2 linked regions of the Rhinolophus ferrumequinum genome follow. The main gene of each other region encodes a partner of the protein of the gene in region 2 in a complex. Links are inferred from orthologs where the notes say so. Each region holds a gene or a part of one and is shown on either strand. Other genes may lie near its edges.

Region 1 (7,944 bases), on a different chromosome or scaffold from region 2:
TCCCTCTCCCAAACCACAAGCTCGTTCCGTCTTCCCACCTCTGGCTGTTCCTTCTTACTTCACTCTATTGCCCCATAGCCCCATTGCCCTCCCCATCTCGCTCCCCTTCGGCCCACCCACCCGACCCCCCAGCTCCAGCCCCTGCTTACCTTGCCTAGAGTAGAGAAGCTGAGCTGGAAGAGGAAGGAGAGGATCTCCACTAGGTCCATGCCCCGACTCTAGGGAGGAATGGGCACAGACAAGGGGACGGGATGGGAGGGAGAAAATCAGGGAGCAGTCTGTAGGCAGTAATCTCTCGGTGTGTCCTGAGAAGAGCAGAGCACACCCACAAGCAGACGCTGCACTCCTCACCTGGGCTGTCTGTAGATACTGCAACATAAAGTACCAGAGCTGGGCAGGGGTGTCCAGCAGCAGGAACTGGAAGCCAGCAGAGGTAATGCAGGGAGGCTCTCCGGGCTCGGTACTAGACACGTGGAGAGGGACAATGGGACAGGTGTGCACAGAATGGCCACCAGCCCCACCGACCGCTCACGTCTGCTCTTGGTTTATCTCTCGCTGTACTCCACTCAGCTGTCCTTCTTCAACGCCCTCCAATCCTGACCCGCCTGGACACTCAGTTTGGCAGCGACCCAAGGAGATGGCAAAGCCGGGAGCTGTTGTGCCTCGGGCTTCCTCACCTCTTCATGAGCCCAGCCTGGCTGAGGAGCTGAGCCAAGTCCTGGCTGACAGCTGCACTGGGGGAGCCCACCATGAAGTGCAGGACCACCTGAGGAATGGAGGAGAATAGAGATGCCTCTGGGGTCCATGGGAAGCAGGAGCATAAGCAGAGACACACACAGAGTCGCAAGTTCTCACCTCCCATCGCTCCTCGGCGTACTTGTCAAGTGACGGGACATCCCGGGCATGCTTGTCTGGTCCCAGCTGACTCGTGTCATCAGACCAGGCCTTGCCCCTATGCCAGGATGGGCCAAGAGTAAGGAGCCCTGCCTGTGTCCCCTGCCCACTCCTCTGCCCTCTTTCTACCTTTGTCCCCATGGGCCATGAGTGGGAGGCATTCCCTACACCATGCATCTGGTCCAACTTATTGCTAAGGAGCTGCCAAAGGTGGAGCCCACAAGGTTCCAGAGAGGCCCCTAAGGAGTTCCCCGGCCTAGCTTAGGAGGAGATGGAGTGACATACCCACCCAGAAGGGCAATGCGCAGGTTCTGGCGGAAGATGGGGTTGAGGATGAGGCCCTGGAGACCACCAGGGAGCAGCTGGGTGTGCCAGATACGGAGGCCACTCAGCAGCCCTGTACTTTCCTCCTGAGCTCTGAAACAGAAGCAGAGAGGTGACAGGTGTGTCTGGAGAACAAAAAGAAGGCCCATGAAGGCCTCCATTTCTGCTTTTGAACTAGTAGTCCTTGGATTACTGTTTCACAGAGTGAAATCAATGTCTTAAGGCAAATTTCTTTACTGTAACGCCTGCCAGAGCCTTGTTATAGACCTCACAACTCTCCAAGAGGGAAAATACAGTATACAGTTTCCCAAACTTATTTAATTACAAGTCTTATGGTGTACCCATTAATCTTTCCTGAAAAATGTTCCAAGGAACAGCAGTTGGGGAAATCTAGCCATTGAGAAATTGGTATCTGGCTGGGAATACAGCACTCACTTGCTGAATTCCTTCTTTACCCACAGGGCTACAGCAGCTTGTGGCAGAGGCTGCTCCAGAAAGAGCATGCGCATCACCCAGTTCTTAGCCAGAGGTGGGAGCTCCCTGCAGGGGGAGAGGAAAAATGTTACTGTCAGCAACTGCCTTAGATCTGCATCTCTGCCCTCAACCTGTGTCTTAGCCTCTCAAACATCTCATCTCACCCTCCACCCCTTTACCAGTCTTGCTGCCCCAACAAACACCATCTGTTTTGGCCTGACACACTTTAATCTTTACGCCCTGTAGAACGAAGCTTCTATCCATGATAACTTATCCCAGTCTGCAGGCCCCATTACATTTCCCCACCATGGTCCCTGCTGTGAAGGGCACCCTCACCTGAAGACAGCCAGACAGGTGGCAGGGTGCCCATATAATCGGTCCAATACCCCAGGGCTCAGACCCCCTAGAAATTCCTGCAGATTCCTGCATTGTAGGTGTACTCGGTTCAGCCCACCCCTTGACGGGATGCTCTCCATCACCTGAAAGATGCAAGCGTTAGAAACGCAATCCCTCAATCCATGCCAGTGTCACCCCTCACCTTTCTCATTCCGATCCCAGATCCACTGGCCCCCACAATAACCCATCTTTTCTATGGTTCCCTTTTGAATGTCATTCATCTCCTCTAGTTTCTCCCAAACCTGACTGACTTCCCCTCTTTCCCTGCCTTCTCACCCCACTTCTGGCCTCAGCTCCAGTCTTCACTTGATTTCCAAGTAACAGAATTTTTCATTGTCCCATATTTGCAAAATCATTTTGTGTGCCAGTGATTGCTCATCTTTACTAAGCAGTGACAAAGAGACTTGTTTGAGCCCAATCCTCTCTCCCTACCACCTCTCCTGGTCGGATCTACTTATAAGCTCTACATCTGTCAGACCTTCCCATCTATTTCTTGATCCCACTTCTGCTGGGTACGGCAATAAACTACCTTTCCCCTCCATGTCTCCCGAATCTAATTCCACCTCTTTCCTCTCCTTTTCCCTCCTCCCTCCAAAGACCACTTCACCCCATTCAACCTGATCCATACCGTTCGACCTCCTAACTTCGCTACTTTCCTCCCATTCCTCGCCTCTTACTCAACTCGTACACTCCGCCACCCGCTCTCTCCCGGCCCCCTTACCACTCTGGGTCAGTTCCCCCTCGTGCACCCGAGTCTCAAGCAGTCGCTTAATCGGAACCAGGGCCTTGCACTGGCTCTGGGAAATAGGGAAAAGTATGGTGAAAATGAGAGAAAAAGATGGGGAGAGCGACGAAGGATTTCACAGACAGGAGTTCGGAGCAGGGGATTCAGAAGAGGAAAGAAAAAGTGGGTAGGATAAGAATGGGCGCTGCACTCGCCCGGCGCGGAGCACACTGGGAATTGGAGTTTTGTCCTTCCTCACCCCAGAGCCGGCTGAAGCGCGTCTGACTACAGCTCCCGAAAGGCACCGCGGGGAAACAGCGAGGAAAGAGCCTGGCCTTTCATTGAGAGAGCTCAGGACACCGGAGGCCGGGTCACTTGGTTCCGCGTCTCTCTCCACGCACGCCTCCAACGGCATGTCTAACCGACCGGTACGGGAGGCGGGACCCTGGGAGAAGAAGTACCCCGAGGACCTACTGGCGGAGGTGTGGAGACGGCTGGATGGTAAGGCGCTTAGTTTTAGACACGCACGAAACTGGGTTCCTTGAGCTCAGCTGATCCAGGTGAAATTGGCTTAAAGCGCTCTACAGAGCGTTTTCGCGAGTTAGGAGTTAACTGGATCTAGTTGCCACGTCCACCATGCTCCCGCCTCCCGTTTAGTTAAAAGATACTAGTAAATACAATTTTAAAAATTGTACGCTTTGATTTGATTTATGAACCTATTGCAGCGAAAGGGAAGGGAACGTCTTTAGCCAAGGCCGGAGCTACAGGCTTCCTAAGTTCTCATGAGGCAAGTTTTATTATTCGCATTTTACAGACCGGAAGACCAAAGTCTAGTGAGAGAAAATTTGCCCGCGATTGGACTAGAAAGTACCGAGGCAGGAATATTAAGTACATTTGCCAGGGACGAGGGACTAAAATGGTAATAAGGACTGTCTGTGTAAGACTTTGCCGTGCGTTGTAGCCCACCCATGTTTGTTTCATTGTTCCGTTTCTTTAGCAATCAATGTTTAAAATCCTCAAAGAATGCCACAAAACTGAGAAAGCTTCTTTGTGTTAAGTACAGTTAAAATTAGATTCTGGAAAGAAGTATTTGATAAAATGGACAAAATACAAAGAACTCTTACAAAGCAATAAGAAAAAGTAACATCACAATGGAAAGATTGACAAAATAGAAAATAGGCGATAAACAGAAGAAATACAAATGACTTCAAATGAAAACTCTCAACTTCACTAGTAATTTAGGAAAAGCAAATTAAAGAAACAATAACATATCCAATTAAAAAACGATTAAGGATTGACTACCTCGATGTATATGAGACTATGAGGATACTCATATACTTTTGTTGAAGGTTAATGGAAGCATGCTTTCTTAAGGGCAATTTGGCTGTATATACCAAGGATTTTAATGTGGCTATACTTTTAGGAATGCATCATACTGAAATTCTCCCACCTGGGTGCAAAGATGTTTATTGGAGTGTATCTGTTGTTGCATTATGAAAACAATGGAAACAGCCTAAGTGTCCATTATTAGGAGTTGGTTAGATGAAATGTGGATCGTTACATGTAGAATACTGGAGAACACTTAGAGAGGAGGTCACTATGCATACTGACAACTGCATACGACCTGTCATGAGGGGAAGAAACGCAGATTACAAAATGGCGTACACAATCCAATGCCATATTTGTAAGAAGCTTTCATGTGTGTGTAAAACTCAGAGAGGTCATTTTGATGGGAGCAAGCAAAGGAAGCTGGGTAGATCAGGTCACAGTTCTCTACAATGTGGGGAAAACTCGGGCTACACTGTCCAGAATAGGAGCCTAGCCACCTGTAGCTATTTACATTTAAATTAACTCAAACAAAATTTAAATTCAGTTCCTCAGTCAACATTAGCCCCATTTCAAGTACTCAGTAGTCGCTACTGATTGGATGGTGCAGATATAGACCTTTCCCTCATCAAGGAGCTCTGACCCCTGCTTGGAGGGATGCAGTGGATGAGGGCAGGTGTCTGATGGCAGGAACCAAGCAGACTGAGTTCCTGGAACTGGCCTTCAAGAAGAAAATCAGCGTGGTCTCCTGGGAGCTGAAATGCAGAAAGAGCCCCCTGACATAATAAGGCTATCCAGCTTGTGCTGAGAAAACTTCCTGTGATGTAGAGTTCATGACCTCCTCCCCTCAGGCAGCATCCTGGAGAGAGAACAGAGATCCAGGAGTCGTGGGCTGCTTCCCACCAGCTTCACCCTTTACCATTGTGCTGCCTTGGGCAAGTGGCTTAACCTAACAGTTTTCTTCTCTGTGAAATGGCAATAGTTTTAGCTACTTCCTATGTTGTGATATTAAATAAGATATGATATGTAATAAGCATGGCACCTGGCACATAGTAGATGCTCAATAAACATTTTCTTAACAAAAAAAAATGTAAAATGGCACCCCCGTAGTAAGTGCTATAAAGAAGCGAGTCCCGTTCTCTGAAAGCCTCAAGAGGAGATCTGACCTGGTTGGCAAGTTAGGGAAGGCTGCTGAAGGACAAGCAGGAGTTATCAAAGCAAAGACAGCAGGGAATTGTGTTCCAGATGGGGACAGCATGCTATGAAGTCCTTGTGGCAGGCAGGACTGAAAGGCCAGTGGTGCAAAGAGAGGGTGGGAAGGACCCACCCTGAAGATGGGGTGGGGGCGCTAAAGTTGGCCAAGAAGATTTTGTTCTTATTCTGATGTCAATGGGTAGCCATTCAAGGGTTTGAAATAACGGAATGAGGTCGGATTTCTGTGTTTTCAAGGTCACTGGCTGCAAGGACCAAACTGGAGCAAACTGGAGAGGAGCGGAAACAGATGCTAGGAGAGACCAGGCAAGATGGAGATGGGAAGAAATGAGGGATTGAAGGGAAAGTGGGGAAGCGAAATCGACAGAGCTACGTGATAGACTGGATTTGTGAGGGGAGAGTAGGGAAAAGGGTGTCGAGGATGATCCCCAGGTTTCTGGCTTGTGCAACTGAGTGGATAGTGCTGCCATTCAGTGAGGCAGGAGATGACATGGGAGGGGCCAGCTTGGACACGCTGAGACTGACAGATCTGCACTTCTCGGTGGACCTCTAGGTGGTTGCACAGCTTTAGAGCTTCATAGAGAGTTCTGAGCTAGAGATTCGGGAGTTCTCCGCTCACTGCACGGCTTCCATTGCTCACCATTATGCATTCTGGCTTCGAAACTCTTGACCTGTCAGTGCCCGTCTTAAATCATGGGTCACAGTGACCTGGCCAGCGTAGGTTTCAGCAGAACTCAGATCTGTGTCCTGGACCCCAACGGCCTATAATTCAACATAAGATTAAATTGTCTTTATTTTTATCCTCATTATCCAGTTGGCTCATTTTGTGACTATCAACCATGACCTTTGTTTCACATGGACTACCATCATGTCTTTCCTAATATTTGCAACTGATTTTTCTTTTTCTTTCTAACTTTGTTAAATGTTTTTTTGGTGGTTGTAGCTCATCCTTCCAAGCCTGAGATCATTTAGGCTCTTGCTTCTGGCTCCCAGCGAGACAGCTCACACCCATTGGGTGATTTACACACTTGATCAGCGTAATCCAGGGATTCTCCACTGGGGACTTCCAGACTCGTGTGTGTGTGGGGGGGGGGGGGGGCGTGTGTCCTAGAATGTGGGCTAGGAAAAAAACGACACATCTATTTTTATGAACCTCTAAATTTCTAACTGAAATTTAGCATTCCCTCCAAGTATGAATATGAGCAAAACCCTCAGTAGTGTTAGCGTGTGACTTACATTAATAGACATCGCAGCTATTTTCATATCTCACTGTAGTTGTAGAAATCTCAGAATGTCATTTATCGTTATACTATTTGGAAATGTCAGTAGTTGTTGCTAGATCTTGTTATTAAATATATTTAAAAGAACCACGTTAATATATAATTTTTTAACATTTTTGTAAACTCTTTCAGTTGACTTCCTCTATAATCATGTATCTATACATACACACCCTCCTTTTAATGGGTTTTAAAACATAATTCTGAGGTGGAATCAGATCTCGCCAGGCTGCCACAGGGGTCAGTGGGTCAAACGAGGTTAAGACTGGAGGCTTACTCCACCTCCCTCCCAGCCTCCTGCAGAGCTTGTGTTGGAGTTGACAAGGTTCATACATTCATGTGGGACCTCAGGTCCCACAAGCAAGGACCTGGCTTATGGAGACACAGAACACTATGTTGGGCAAAATACGTGGTAGGAAATGGAACGGGGAGGAGGAAAAAGAGAAGAAAATGGGATGGGGGAAGGGAGGGGCAGGAGGCAGATTTTACCAAAACCCCAAGAAACCTACTCACAGCTGTGGAAAACTCAACCTTTATTATTACCTGCCTAGTGCAGGGGATTAAAATTGCATTGAGCTAGATCCATATATTAGTGTAAAAATCTGTCTCTCTCCCCCCAAAAATGTACAAACCCAAGTGATTATAGAAAAACCAATGTGGCAGCTATGATAGAGATATCCAACCCCCGGGCCCTAGGCCTTTGCTCCCTCTTTCCCCCTAATCCCAGTATTTATTCCACAGAAACATACAGGCTTAGAGAAGTTCTAGCTACAACATGGCAGATGGGAGGTGGGGTTTGGGGGCAGGAATCAAGCCCAGGTCCAGTGTTTCAGAGGATGGAGGGGGAAAAGCCAAAGCTGAGGACAATTCCAGGAGTAGGCACAAGGGAACATCTTTCTCCCGTTTTTGTCCTCCTCACTCCACAAAATCTCAGCCAGTGGGGTCCAGTGTGTGCCAGAAAGAGAGAGGCTGCGGGGCACAGCCTTCCCTCCAGGAACCAGTGTTGTCCAAGGGGGCCCAGGTGCTCCAGGGGGCCATGTCCAGTGTCTGCCCTGTATTTGCCCCCACCCTCCCCAAGGGATGGCTAGAAGAGGTCCGAGACGGTCCCATCCACAGGGCCAGCTGGGTGGGTGGCAGAAGCTTCTAGAAGAGGAGCAGGAAGGGGGGGCAGGAGGAAGGGAGGTCATCAGCTTCCTGGCAGGCCCAGCCCACCTTCGGTCACACTGCGCCTCTCTCAGAGGTGAAGGGCAGTTAGGGGGAGAGTGGAGGTGCCATTAGCTCCTCTTCTTTGTGCCACTGGCTTCCCCGAAACCCTCC
Region 2 (6,950 bases):
GGCAGGTGGGAGTTCTGTGGAGGAAAAGGCAGGATGGAGGCTGCACCTCGTCCCTACCCATCCCATCGGGGCTCCCAGCAACCAGGCAGGCCCCAGGGGGTGACAAGCAGCCCTCCACCTGAGACCAGGTCCCTACGGGGGGAGGAGGAGCAGCCGAGGGGCCCAACAGGGGGACTTCATCCCGACCTCCCGTCACTCGCCTGCTGAGACACCAGGCAGGGAGGCAGGCTCGCACACGCAGACAATGTGCGTGCAGGACACACACGTTCAGATGTGTGGACTGACGGACTCAGAGCACAGTGATGTGTCACCCCAACTGCCCAGGTCCCCTGCTCCCAGCCTCACGCTCTCCCCCAGAGCCAGTGGTGACGACTCATGCAGCCACATCTGCCACCCGTGCTCACAGGGCCTCCCCCACCAGCCACAGACTATGGGGACAGGGCACCCCAGCCATGCTCTCTATACTTCGCCCCTCACACCAGGGACTCCTTGCAGCCTGGCAGCTGGGGCAGGTGGTCTTCCCAGTAGCCCAGGGGCAGGAGGGACTGCAAAGGCTCCAAATGCCACCCTGGCAGGTGCCTACCCCCTCCTGCCCAACCCCTCACGGGCTGCACACTGCCCACCTGTCCACTCATGCCTGGGGTGGACGGGAGTCCACCGTATGGGTCAGTCCCAGCTCGTCCCTGCAAGCAACCTGACACCCACCCCCAACTTCAGTTAGGCGGTATGAACGGCACCCACCCCAGTGGGGAGGGCATGTGCCTGGGTCCAGGCCCTGGGACCCCATCCCCACCCCTCCACAACTGCTGTGCCTGGGGATGAAGTGTCTGTTGAAGGGTTTTAGGCCCCATGAACTATCAAAGGAAATGGGGGACACACCCGTCCCACTTTCTTTGATGAACCCCCCTCCCCAGGGCTAAGGGGCCCAAAGCCCACAGCAACATTCCGGAAGCTAAAAACCATGCAGCACACACCCACCCACGCAGGCCTGAGGCTGGGTCTGCATATCCCCTCAGCCCCAGATCCCGGCATCCCTCCCCGGCAGGCCCTTACGGCTGGCTCCACCAGCACCTACAACCCTCCTGGGCAGGACAAGACCAGGCTGGCTCCTCCCCATGAAGCCTCCATGCCGCACTTTGGCCCTCCTTTGAGGGCAGAGACTGACAGGTCTGTGTCCCCAGTACAGCTCACACAGCAGGCAACAGCGACAGGGCTGAGTGACAGCCCCAAGACAAATACCACAGCCTGCCAGCCCGGGGCTGGGTCTTTGGGGTTGTGTGAGCCACAGGCCATGGGCACCTACCTGACCACACCAAGGCCCTCTCCAAAAAGGACCTGCCCAAATGCTGAAACAGAGCGTGTGGCGTTGGACTTAGAGGCTGGGGTGGACAAATGGGCGGTTGCCAGTGGCCCACCCTGACCCCAGCAATGGAGCAGCAGCAGGGGTCTGGCCTGAGCACACACCCCAGCAGGGGCAGCTCAGGGTGGAGCATAGATCGCAGATCGGAGCCGCCCACCCCGGCCCCCTGGCGGAGCTGGCTCTGAGGCAGCTTTGAGGAGCCCAGGAGGGCCTGGCCAACACAAACAGGCCTGTGGTGTGGGCCTTCCTGCCACTGCTTCAGCCCCGCCGGGCCCCAGTGCCCACCCAGGTCTGGGGGAGGAGAACACAGACACCCAGGCTGGGCAGGCTGGCATCCCTTCACACTCAGAGCCCAGGCAGGGTCATCTCCCCAGCCCAACCGGGAGCGTCCGGCTGGGAGACACCCGCTCCACGGGAGGGATCCCCGTGGAAGAAGCCACCAAGGGCCCCCTCTCTCCTCCTGGGCCCACCTAGGCCAACCCAAGCTCAGGCCCTCCCTCCCCTGCCCACCCCCCCCCCCCCCCCGTCCCGGCTCCTCCCCCCACCTCAGGTATTTCTCTGCTGAAGGCCATGTAGAGGTAAAGGCCAAGGGGACACAATTAGGATTGGGGGCTGGGGGATACCTTCCCAGCCACCACAGGCCCTGGGAGCACGCTACCTCACATGGCCAGTGTGTGCCTGCCCCACCTCGACAGACACCCCCACCCCGCCCTATGCCACCAGACGGACACCGCAGAGCAGTGCCCTCCCTCAGGAAGCCCACATCAGCCCCAGGTGTGTTCAGAGGCTCATTAGGTTAGAGTCAGTTCGGGCTCAGCACGCCTGCAAACATCACCACTAAGGACTCCCCAGCCCCAAGGGCCGAGAGGGTTAGCATGGGTGCAGCAGGTAGGTGACCCGTCTGACCCTGGGGAGGCATCCGAGCATGTATGTTCAAGGATCCCATGCCACCCTGTACACCCCATGTAAGCACACATGTACCCAAAGCAAGCGGCCAGGGCCTGAGTCCGGAACCCCACACCTGCACAGATAGATCCGGACCCTCCAGCTTGGCAGCTTCTCGTTCCATCCACGCTTTACAGATGGGGAAACTGAGGCTGTGATCCAGGACCAGGGGTTGGGGCCTGTGGCCGGCCTGTTTCCAGGACAACCTTCAGAGCCGGAAGCTCAGCAGCTAAAACTTCAGTCGCTGATTTCCCCTTGTCCCTGGCCTGCCCTCAAGTGACCCTTTCTGGCAGGAAATGTGGCTCACGGGTTCCAAACCACATGTGAGCACAGCCCTCCCTCCTCGTGCTTCCCATCACTGGAGGCAGGACACTCATTCTCGGAAAACCTGTGCCTCACTCTCCGGCCCTCCCCAGAGGCCTGGGCCACATCTGTGCTGACACTCCACACCGAGGGGAGAAGCCAGGGCCCCCACCTACCCCAGCAGGCACGCAGAGCCCCTCCTCCACCAGTGCCCTGGGCCCCCACAGCTCCCTCCTGCCCCTGGCCCCCCCGGCCCTCACCTCAACGTGCAACCCCAACACACACAGACACACATGCAGGGACACAGCCTGTCCGGGCCATGGTTGGGGGGTAGAGCTGACCTCTGAGGTTCCCCTGGGGTCCTCTGGTCCAGCCTGGGCAGGGCTGAGCCAGGCAGAGTTGAGCAGGCAGAACTAAGTGCCCCAAGGGGCCTCCACCCACGCACACGTGTGCTGGGGCAGCGCACACAGGCTGGGCCGGGGCAGCCACTCTGCTCCCCATGGCCTCTCCTGGGAAATCAGGGAGCTGGAGGGAGGAGCTTGGGAAGAGGAGCCAGCGGCCCCCAAATCTACACACAGCTCTCAGAATTCCAGGAATGTCAACTTGGCTCTGGACCGGATCAGGGAGGGAGGCTCGCTGCTCCCCTTACTCTCTCTGCGTAAACAACTGCTCAGGGCAGGAGCTCCAGTGGGACAGGCCCTGGGCCCCTCCTCCAGGAAGCCTTCTGCCCCCACCCACTCCAGCTCCTGAAGGTCCACCCAGCTGACATCCCGATGCCCTCCCGGTCTCCCTCACCTCCACAGCCTCGGGCAGCCTCTGCAGCTGAGCCTGGGTCTGACCCCAGGCCACTGTGACTCAAGGCCCCTATCCTGCCCCTCCAGGCCAGGGACAGGATGTGCGTCCAGTCAGTGTGTATGTGGGGGGGTGTCAGGGAAGGGAAGTGGCTTTGGCTCGTGGCTCTGCACGTGGCAGGGTGGGGGATGGCAAAGAGCACTGGGGAGGCTGTCCAGGGCCCCGGAGAAAGTGGAGGCACAAACTCCAGGCGGGCACCAGTGCCGGCAGCTCCACCCAGGACCCAGGACCCTCCATCTCCCTGCCCCCCAACTAAGGCCTGAGGGGGCAGTTAGCTGACTCCTGGGACCCAACCAGAGATCCAGCGAACCTGCCCCAGAGGCTGCACACACATTAAGTCACAGGTGCCACTTTGCAACACATCCACCCCCTAGAGCCCAAAGCTCACCACCCACACACAGGGAGCCCTCGGGCTTCTCACTGCACACTGCCCGCCCTGCCCAGCCCCCATCTTGGGGCTCAGCCCACCCCATTTCCCGACACACAGCCTCCCTTCCCCTCAATCCTCCGTGGCTCCTGCCCCACCACCTACTCTGGCCCTAGCGCACACCTGTCTGGGACTACCCTGCAGGTACCGACTCCAGACCTCTGCCCAAGGGTTCCTTTTGCCAGGGTCTGCCCTGCTCCTTCACACGCACTCAGGCTCACGCCTGGTGAAATCCTGTACTTTTCAAGGTTCAGCTCAACAGGCGCCTCTTCCACGACGCTCTCCCTGACCACACTCCGGTCCTCAGATCGCGGGGACCCAGCAGAGCTTGGACTGGGGCGGCTGCAGACCCTTCCCGCCCCCCATCCCCTTCCCCGGGAAGAAAGGAGGAGGGACGCGGACCAAAGCAGATCGATGCGGCGCTGTCTGAGCTCACCACCCGGCCGATCGCTCCTAGCGTGCCCTCCCACCGTCGGAACTACAGGTAACTGTTACCTGGCCGGGACCGATATAGCACGGGCGAGCGGGCCTGGAGACGCCCCGAGGGCACTCCCGAACTCAGCCGCAGAGATTCCCGGGCATCCGCGGGCAAGGATTCCGGGCGACAGACCCCTTTCCCGGCCCGTCCAGGAGAGGCAGCGGGAAGACCCGCCCGTGGCCGCCGGCCAGCCTCTCTCTGCCCCCGCTGCGGGGTCGCCGCGCCCGGGCCCCGCCACTTGTTGCTGCGGCTCGACTCGGGGCTCCGCGCTCCGGGCTGGAACTCCGCTCCCGCTCGCTCGTGCCGGGGCGGGTGTCTGATCCCGGCTCTGGCGCGGCGGGCGGCGGGACCCCGACCAGCGGACGCTGTACCTGCGCGCGCAATCCACCCGCCGCGTAGCTGTCAGTCATGCGGACACGAGAAACGCGAACTGCGCCGCCGAGCCCTTACGGCCTCGCTCGGCCACCATAGGCCGGGATGTACCAAAGGGGCGCAGAGGGGACGCCGCCTGCTCCTGCCGCAGCCACGAGGGTTCCGAGACCCCCGATACGCGCGAGGAAGATCGTCGCGACAGGAAGCGGATGCCGACGGCGCGGGGGCTGGGGAGGTGGACTGGGGGCGGCTGGAGACGGGTCCCGTCTCCCCCGCACCATGGACGCGCCCGGGGCGGGGTCGGCTCTCGGGCAGAAGCGCCGCCGGAACCGAAGAGCGCGGTCGTTGTCCCACTGCCGCCATGATCATCCCCGTGCGCTGCTTCACCTGCGGCAAGATCGTCGGCAACAAGTGGGAGGCCTACCTGGGGCTGCTGCAGGCCGAGTACACCGAGGGGTGAGGCGCCGGGCCCGGCGGGGGAGGGCCGCCAGCGCGGTGGGAAGCGTCCCTGGGCCGCCCTGCGAGACGGGCGGGGAGGGCCGGGGGTAACGGGGTCCCGGCCTGCGGGGCGGGCGGTGCCACGCGCATCCGATTACAGGTGACCCTGGAGGGGCTTTCAGTTCCAGAGTCTCTTCCAGCCCTGCTCTCCAGGGGGCTTCTCGGTGTCCTTGTGGCCGGCCGCGGTGCCCCTCCACTGCGGTTAAGCCGTCACCCTGCTCCCTGCCCACCTGCTATTAGATCCACCGCATGTCCCACAAGCCCACTTGTCTTTTAGGCTCAGGGCAGCTTCCTGGCCACATAGCTGTCATTTTGAGGCTGTGGCAGGTCCCTTTTCTGTGCTTGTCCCTTAGCACTGCAGTTACCACCACGGCTAGCTGAGTCTGCTCCCCAGTAGAGTCTCACCCTTGGCCACTGTGTGGACAGCCCATGTCCTGTCACACTTGAACCCCTGGGACCCGGGACGTGCCAACATGCCATCGACTCTCAGGGCAGGTGTGGGGGTGATGATGGGCTGTTGGCACCAGACCCTGCAAAGGCTGCTGGGGTGACCAGAGTGCGTGAGTGGCTGGTAGCCTGCCCACGACCCTCCGTGCAGCACCATGGGCAGGGACCTTCCAGCCTGGCCTCCCCATTGCCAAGCTGCCATCTCTGCACACTGGGGCCAATGGTGTGGGAATTTTCTGGAGGCCTCGAGGGTGACTAATCTTGGTCCCAGGGAATTGGGGACTCTAATTTGCGTCAGAAATGGCTCCCTGGAGAGATGCCTCCCTTCCCAATGTGGAAGCAGGGCTGAGGAAAGATCCCACAGCAGCTGAGTGAGGCTTCCATCTGCCTGGGCTTTTGGGGACCGACAGATCACAGCCTGTCTTCTGCCTGCAGGGATGCTCTGGACGCGCTGGGCCTGAAGCGCTACTGCTGTCGCCGCATGCTGCTGGCCCACGTGGACCTCATAGAGAAGCTGCTCAACTATGTACCCCTGGAGAAGTGAGTGAGCACCCAGCATGCTGCTGGCCCACGTGGACTTGATAGAGAAGCTGCTCAACTATGTACCCCTGCAGAAGCCCGGGAGCACCCAGCAGTCTGTCCTGCCCAGAGCCCCTCCCACTGAAGCGTGGGTAGCCAGGAGCAATGTCTGCTCACAGCTGTGTGGGCGTTGGTCTCCTGCTCTGGCAGGAGCCATCCAGTAAAGGTCTTTGCAGAACCACAAGAAGGTCCTGACAGTTGGTCTGGCTTTGTGCGACTCCCTGCCACTGTGTACCTGTGTCCTGCCTCATGCCTGAGGCCACTTACTGCCCAGGAAAAGGGATAGCCATCCCCATGGCAACTGCTCAGCCTGGGGTGTCTCCCTCTGGAGGGGGTGCTCTCAGGCCACCAAGAGCACTAGGGCACTGGCATCTCCACCCATGTGTTCTGTGTACTCTAGGTCAGCACAGCACAGAGGTCCCCACATCCTCTCTTCCCAGGATCTAAAGAACCAGATTTTCTGGGCCCTGAATAGAATGCCTGCTGTGGTCATGGCTGCCCATCCTGAGCGTCCTGCTGCCAGAAGCTTCCAGGCTCCACCCAAGCCCAGTAGACCCCTCGGCCAAGTTCCTGCAGGAGGCGGGGCAGCACTCAGGCTCCCCACCCAGCCCGGAGACCCTACAGTAGCTCTGCGGGTTGTCAGGGCTGGCTGAGCTCCCAGTGCCGTGGGCATCAGCATTCAACCCTGC

What was found. The genes of interacting proteins can lie anywhere in the genome.
Region 1: POLR2L (region 2) and GTF2H4 share a complex: the UniProt entries of both Homo sapiens proteins name them as parts of the TBP-based Pol II pre-initiation complex. The link is inferred for Rhinolophus ferrumequinum from reciprocal best matches to the Homo sapiens genes POLR2L and GTF2H4.

Annotation. Positions count from the first base shown.
Region 1 is NC_046286.1:1,466,792-1,474,735, reverse strand, and holds the start of GTF2H4 (general transcription factor IIH subunit 4), read right to left. Parts: upstream 3,016-7,944; 5' UTR 2,810-3,015; intron 2,172-2,809; 5' UTR 2,169-2,171; coding exon 2,029-2,168; intron 1,759-2,028; coding exon 1,654-1,758; intron 1,312-1,653; coding exon 1,180-1,311; intron 953-1,179; coding exon 856-952; intron 767-855; coding exon 678-766; intron 464-677; coding exon 352-463; intron 219-351; coding exon 150-218; intron 1-149. UniProt on the Homo sapiens protein: Component of the general transcription and DNA repair factor IIH (TFIIH) core complex, which is involved in general and transcription-coupled nucleotide excision repair (NER) of damaged DNA and, when complexed to CAK, in RNA transcription by RNA polymerase II.
Region 2 is NC_046294.1:511,321-518,270, reverse strand, and holds POLR2L (DNA-directed RNA polymerases I, II, and III subunit RPABC5), read left to right. Parts: upstream 1-4,951; 5' UTR 4,952-5,098; coding exon 5,099-5,193; intron 5,194-6,117; coding exon 6,118-6,226; 3' UTR 6,227-6,445; downstream 6,446-6,950. UniProt on the Homo sapiens protein: DNA-dependent RNA polymerase catalyzes the transcription of DNA into RNA using the four ribonucleoside triphosphates as substrates.